2 linked regions of the Caenorhabditis elegans genome follow. The protein of the gene in region 2 interacts with the protein of the main gene of each other region in a pairwise test. Each region holds a gene or a part of one and is shown on either strand. Other genes may lie near its edges.

What was found. Proteins that work in one complex are often made in the same cells at the same time.
Region 1: the proteins of sta-1 (region 2) and nex-1 interact in a two-hybrid assay, tested with the Caenorhabditis elegans proteins (one large-scale study listed by BioGRID).

Annotation. Positions count from the first base shown.
Region 1 is NC_003281.10:5,223,550-5,227,304, forward strand, and holds nex-1 (Annexin), read left to right. Parts: upstream 1-2,071; 5' UTR 2,072-2,074; coding exon 2,075-2,587; intron 2,588-2,640; coding exon 2,641-3,096; 3' UTR 3,097-3,255; downstream 3,256-3,755. Other genes in the region: C34E10.10 (rRNA-processing protein UTP23 homolog), read right to left, coding at 3,348-3,596, 3,646-3,755.
Region 2 is NC_003282.8:16,662,233-16,665,987, forward strand, and holds the start of sta-1 (Signal transducer and activator of transcription 1), read left to right. Parts: upstream 1-2,087; 5' UTR 2,088-2,089; coding exon 2,090-2,398; intron 2,399-2,494; exon of another isoform or gene 2,495-2,515; intron 2,516-2,770; exon of another isoform or gene 2,771-2,791; intron 2,792-2,874; exon of another isoform or gene 2,875-2,895; intron 2,896-2,977; exon of another isoform or gene 2,978-2,994; coding exon 2,995-3,339; intron 3,340-3,352; exon of another isoform or gene 3,353-3,373; intron 3,374-3,535; exon of another isoform or gene 3,536-3,556; intron 3,557-3,731; coding exon 3,732-3,755. UniProt on the Caenorhabditis elegans protein: Carries out a dual function: signal transduction and activation of transcription. Activated STAT proteins play a role in repression of dauer formation.

The DNA.
Region 1 (3,755 bases), on a different chromosome or scaffold from region 2:
CCGTTCTCTCTGTTTTCCAATTGTTCCCCAAAAAGGTCAATTCATCTGAACATGCTACTACATCAAGACCAATCCGTTTCTTGAACTTTTTTATTCTCCTCTCCATTAATAAAATCCCATTTAATGTACAGTTATTAACTTCCTATACTTTTGAAAATACTCTCCAAATCCTTTTATTCCCTCAATACCAACCAAAAAAAAAGATTGGCCACAGTTATATACGCGGTCTTTTTCAATTTATGTTGACAAATTTGATCGTTGACCAATGGCCTTGTGAACCATTCAAATTCCACATAGTATACATCAACAAGAACATTTGCATATGCCACGGAAGTAATATATGGCTATTCCACATATTTTGATAAAACTCTCAGTTATCTAGAAAATGAAACGCCGCGAATAGAGTTATCTAAGCAACTCGTAGGAATGCTTAACAAAAAATTTAAAACGCTTCATCTAATTTCTCGGCATTTGGCGACTCATAAAATATTAACTCAGTTTAGAAGTTGACAAAACTAGGGCTAAACTTCGAAAATACTTGGAAAATACTTTAGGCCGTGCCAAAGTTTATCTCAAATTTCATCCAATTCTTGCCAAAACCTTACCCAAGTTCAAACCAACTCACTAGTCAAAAACAAATTCGTATCAAAGATTGGCCCGGCTTAAACTAAGTCTGGGCAAGGTATGGCGCAAGTTTATAAAAGGAACTTTTCCAATAAATCTTTGAAAAATCGTAGAAAATCCGTTTCGAGAAACTTTGGGCCAGTTTCAAAAAAGGTTGAACTGCCCGAAATTGTTCACGAAATTTCATTTCAGTCAACATTGAAGGGCAAGCTCTCAAAAACTTGACTTTAATTTGTTCATTTTTCTAATAACACAAAATTTCTTAGTCATGCTCTCCTCGTTTTTGCATTTCTTACCAAAAAAACTCTGTTTTTTTCATCACAAAAATTTCTAATTTTCACAATTTTTGTTTCTACCCATACACCATGAATCATCCTCTCTCTCTCTCTCTCCGTTACACATCAACTAGAACACTACACCGATCGTACAGGTCATTCAATGTGCGAACGGACACAAAAAATTGGTAGAAGATCGGTGCCTGTTGGTGTCCCTGAACCGGCAGGAAAAATGTTTGTTGGAGGGAAAACAACAAGGAAATCGATCCCTCATTTCGGGACTCCAGTTAAAAAACAAGAAATGATAGCATGAAATTTGAGAAACGAGAGAAGATGCTGGTTTTTTCGCTTCTAAATTAAAATTCACCCCCATAAACACTTTTGGTATGGACCTGAAGAGGTGTTACATTAGATCATTTATATGAATTCTAAATTTAGAATTTAGAACCTATATAACCTAATGAGTCATAACTTTCGCAATTTTCGTTTAATTTCAATTTTTTCAATTGCCTCAAAAAAAAGACAAAGAAGATCCAATATTATCTGTATTTCATCATCCGCCTATGTTTCTTCTCCACTGTTTTCTGTTGTTTTTGTTTTCTCTCTCAATCTCTATCTCTCCTATCGTTTGCGATGAATCACCCTCTTGGCTCCGCCCATTTTCTCCCCCAGCGGCGCTCTTCCTTTTAGTCGTCCCCAGATGCCCCTCTTTACCACTCAGTGAACAGTCATTTTTGTTTCAGTGTTGTCATTTCATTTTGCTTATCAGTTGACGGTTTTCTTGTCCAGAAATATGTTCATTTATTTCTCTCTGGCCAGGATTGGAACAAGTGCCTGGATTTTTCCATTTCAAAAAAGATTACAAACATCCTATATATAAGTAGATATTTTCACTTAACCCATAAACAAAAATTAATTATATAATTGTTTAAAACATTCTTGAAAAACATGGCGTAATTTGTGATGCACTACCCGCAAACACCGCAAGAATGCGTACCAACTGTATACAGTAGTAAACAAACTGTGTAAACAAATTTGTATTCGCCGAATTTTTTAAAAACAAAAAACTGAAAAATATAAATATTAGACGCCATCTCATTTATCCATTCATTTTCTTCCATTTTTCTGCTTCTTTCTTACTTTTAAAACCTAATAATTACACGTTTGTTTCCAGAATGACTTCCCCATACGCTACAATCGTCGACGCTAGAGAGTTCAATGCTCCGATGTTCGCTGAGAAGATCGACCGTGCTCTTCGTGCCGGAGAGAAGGACGCTGTTGTCAACGTCATCACCTCGATCTCCAACGCTCAGCGCCAGCAGCTCCGCGAGCCATACAAGCTCAAGTACGGAAAGGACATCATCCAGGCTCTTGACAAGAAGTTCTCTGGAGATCTCGAGAAGGCCATCTTCGCTCTCATGGAAACTCCATTGGATTATGATGTGAAGCAGCTTAAGGCTGCCATGAAGGGATTGGGAACTGACGAGGCTGTGCTCATCGAGATTTTGTGCTCCAGAACTGTTGATCAACTCCGCGCCATTCGTGTGACCTACGAGAAGGAGTATGGAAAGGCTTTGGAAGCTGACATCGCTGGAGATACTTCTGGAGAATTCCGTGATCTTTTGGTCAGCTTGGTCACTGGATCCAAAGACGGATCTCATGATACCAACGACGCTCAGGCCAAGGATGTAAGTTTTCTTTATTTTTTCACTGTGATCAATTATTCATTTTCTTATTTTAGGATGCTGTTCGCCTGTTCGCCGACGGAAAAGCCAAGCTTGCCAAGAAGGACGGAACACACTTCCTTCACATCCTCGCCACTCAAAATCAATACCAGCTCCGCAAGGTCTTCGCCTACTTCCAGGAACTCGCTGGTGGCTCTATCGAGAAAAGCATCGAGAAGGAGTTTTCCGGAGATCTCCAGAAATCCTACCTCACCATTGTCCGTGCCGCTTCCGACAAGCAGAAGTTCTTCGCTCAGCAGCTCCACGCTTCCATGAAAGGACTCGGAACTCGCGATAACGACTTGATCCGTGTCATCGTCACTCGTTCCGAAGTCGACTTGGAGCTCATCAAGGCCGAATTCCAAGAGCTCTACTCTAAGAGCTTGGCCGACACAGTGAAGGGAGACACTTCTGGAGCCTACCGTGACGCTCTGCTCTCCATCATCAATGGAAACCACGCTACTGCCCACTAGATGCTGAAATTGACAAACCCAAGCTTTACTTCATTAATTTCGTATTAAAATTCACTTTTCAACCCCTAAAATGTTACCTGCATTCCTCTCCTAATATGTACCAGACTGGATTGTATTTTTTATGTTCAAATGTCGCATTTTGTAATAAAAATCTTAAAAAAAAATCTGCGTTCACAAAATGAATTTTCATTCAACAGAAAAAAAATTAAAAATCAACAAAAACAAGTAAAAACGGAAGAGATCATTATGTTTTACTCTTCATCCATGGAGGATCCCTTCTTTTTTGTCCTTTTCCTCTTTCCTGAAGCAGTTCTCTCTCCAGTTCTGACGATATCCACAGACGCTTTCATAATTTTCTTCTTGCACGACAATGGATTGACTCCTTTTTTCTTTTTCTTCTTCTTCAATTCTTGTTGGCCGATCAGCGCATTTTTTAACTCCTTTAGCTTCTTGATTTCGGATTCTTCTTTAGAACAGCCAGCCTTTGTAGCTTCAGAAATCTGAAACGTAAAATGTTTTTTCCAGTACACTCAGTTTTTAAAAACTCACATTATCAAGTAGCACAGTCTTAAATTTGATGTACATAATCGGTGTTCCAACGATTGCTCTCAGCTTTTCAGTTAATTCATCGTCCTGGGTTGCAATCAAATATTTGGTTT
Region 2 (3,755 bases):
CGAGTTTAAAATTTAATAACTTGTTGAAACAGTCAAAATTTCGCTAATTTAAAACGAGTAAAGATTCTGTATTAATTTAAAGCAAAAAAAAAAACAATTTGAAAATATTAAAAACCAGTTAGAAACAGTAAATTTTTTATTTCTCATGACCATGAAACATAAGCACATTTTCCAAGTTGGAATGCTCTGTAAAACGAAATAATTGATAGAAAAATTTCAATTTATATCTAACTGTAAATGACCCTTATTAGGATGTAATACAGAAGGATAATCGATAACAATTCATTTTCCATATTGAATATGAGTAACCTGAAACAGTAAACTTTTCATCCAACTTTCTGTAAATTTTGCTGTGCCTTTTGTGTTATTTCAATTAAAAATTGCCATTGATACTTGACTTATCTGAAACAAGATACATTTTTTCTAAAAATTTGAACTTGTAAGTCTTATAAGCTCTATTAATTACCTAGTTTGAACAAAAAACGAAACTTCAGCTCACTAACTAGTGAAATCGAACTTCGAAGTAATGTTTGACAATTTTTGCTTTCCGACAATAGCAGCATTAAACTTGAAAAAAATTTAAATATTGAGAAACATTATTCGATTCATATGTAAGCAATCTGAAACAATATATATGTTTTCTAAAATATTATACTACCTTCATTTTCAACACTGTATTACCCCATTTTATACATTCAGACAATATCAGTAATCTGAAACAGTATTGTTTTCTTCTCAAGTTTGAAATCTTTAAGGTTCCATATAGAAATAGCCCCAGTATAATTTTTTTTTCAATTTCTTTTTCCCGGTATATTCAGATTACTTGTCAGATTGTTATAAAATTTCCAGACTCTAAGCCAATTTTAAAACACGCAAAATTATTTCAGCTTGGCCGAAAAAAAATTAAAAAAAACTAAATTTTCGGTTTCAACACCACATTTTATAATCCTCAAAATGCTAGAACAGTAGTGAGAAATAATAATAGAACTTCATACACTCAGAATAAAAAACTGGAATAAATCTAGCAACGTATAAATAAAATGTTGGTATTTTTAAAGACAACTTGAAACAGTGGAAAAATGTTAAAATTTTCCAAAATTTCCGTCAAATCGTCGTTCACCCAAAATTTGAAAATTTTCCAGATTTTTCAAATTGTTTTCCAATAAAAAATATTTGAATAAAAACCACAAAAACATACATACTTTCGAACATTTTTAGAACATTTGAACAGTAATTTGTCGCGTCGAGACCCGATACAGTAATTTTCGCGCAAAATTTCACGGTTGGGTAATACAAGTAGAACCTTAAATGTTCATGTTCAGCTCATTTTATAATAACTTGAAAAAACCACTACTGTTTCAAAATTAATTTGAACGATTTTTTTTTTGAAAAAAAAAACATATTTTTCTCTAATCCCTCAATAATATCTCCATTTTTTTCCGTCCCCCCAATCATCACAGATATCAGCTGAGACAGGGGAAAAGTGGTGTGAAAACACACAAGTCTCTGCGTCTAGCGGTGTGTAACACTGTCTGCGTCTCTGTGCTCTCTTTGATACTCTCTCCCGTGTGTGTGTGTGCTCCTGGAGCTCTTATACATTTCCAAGTGTTTCTGCTCTCTGCATCTCTTGCCCATTTTCCGCTTTTTTGAGCCAACAACTTCTCATTAGTTTTTTCCTTCGAGTTCTTGTGCAGAGCCACGGCTCTTTCAACAACTCGCACAAATTGAAAGTTTTCGCAATTTTTTCTTGCATTGCACGTACATATTTTCTTTTTTTTTTTCATAATTATTGATGAAAATGAATATGTTTTGTCAAGCGAATATGCTACATTGAAAGTTTTCAGAAACAGTGAAAAATCAAATTGAAATTAACAAAATCTTTCAAAATTTAATCACTTATTTGAAACAGTAAAAAATTTTTTAAAGTATACGTCGATTCTGAAAATACACTGAAAATGAAATAAAATTCTTGAAACTGTAAAAAAATTTTTAACCAATTTTTTTTCACAAATTTTTCTTTGAAAACGTTTCCTTTTTATTACCTCCTTGTCTTCCCATTCCCTTCATTAAAAATCTGAAATTTCCAGACATGATGGGCTCATCGTCGCAAGAGCTTCAAACAGCTCTAACCGACGTCTCAAAGACCTGCCATCACTTGTGGGAAGAGAATAAGGACCTCCAAGGCAGATTTGTGAATGAACTCGGCGAGCTTCAACGTCTGCAAATGGTCATTGCACAGCTGGAACAGCAACAGAGACTAGAAAATGTATTCACTGTGAAACAGCAAATGACAGAGTTACAGAAAAGAGCAGCCACACTTTATGAGCATTTGACACAGAAAAGAAATGATATTGTCATTAAACTTAATGATGGCACCAATTTTGCGACGATGCTACAGGTTGGTTCTTCTAATGTGAAAAAATATGAAAAAAACATAAAAAAAATTTTACTGTTTCAAAGTTTTGTGAAATATGAATTAAAATTTTTTACTTTACTTGACTGTCGAAGACCATTTCCATTAAAAAACTCTAATACAAGATTTACTTTTTTGAAAAATCCTTCAAATTTTGAAGAATTTTGCATGTTCAGTAAATTCATGCTAAAAATATTTTTATTCTTTTAATGTTTCAAGTGAATGTTTTGTTTAAAAAAAGCATTAAGAAATCTTTTAATATGAAATTACATCAAAAATGAACTGAAATACAAAAATTAATTAAAAATTTAATGTTTCCCATGCATTTCATATATTGAACGCGCGAAAATGTCATACTTTAAAACTGGCCTGCAATCTAGCTCTCTTATCTGAAAAAAAGTTAGTTATAATATTTACAGTTTCACACTTTTATCAAATTTAATCTTTTTTTTCCTTTTACATTGATTTTGCATAAAATTTGACAATTTTTTTTAAAGAGAAATATTTTTAAAAAAATACTGTTTCACAGTTTAATCAAATTTTCTATGCGTTGCAATATTTTAATCAATCTTCATTTCCAGACCCAACTAATTGGCGAAAAGCTGTTCTCCTGGAAAAATGCCCAAAAACTTGCCCAAATCGGAATGCCTTTCGATAATCGCGAACAGCTGCTTGATGAAATTCAAATTGAATTCGAATTTCTCGCTGATCAAAACTGGCAGCTTAACATGTTCTCGTGTTGGATGCTCGACTTGCTCCGACGTGCTCCACAGTTAAATGATGGGCTCGCTCAGGCAACAATTGGAAAGTTGACTGCAATTACAGAACAATTGAACAAATTACTTTTTATGCTGGTTTCACAGAGTTTTATTGTTTCCGTTCAACCGGAACCTGTTTTGAAGACTCAACATAAATTTGTCACTGAGGTTTGTTTTTTAATGGAAATTATACATGTCAAATTTTGGTGGGTCCCGCCGCGAAAACCACACCGTCGTGACGAGACCCAACTTAGTTAGAATTCAAGCAAATTATAAGAAACAATAAAAAAAAATTCAAAAATTTTAATTAAAACTTTACCGTTTCAAAAGTCATTCAAATAAATATGTAAGTCATACTCAACAATTTTATTTAAGAAGTTCAATTCGAATATAATGTGTGCCACGCATTTGTTCAGCTTGAAAATTTCTGGGTCCCACCACAAAAACTACAGTTCCACCCCACCTAATTTTACGGGTTACTGTAGTTTCCGCTGTGGGACGCAGCAATTTCAGAATCCTGATTTTTCAATAAAATTACAAAAAAAAACTAAAATTTCCAGGTCCGTCTTCTCATTGGCGATAAG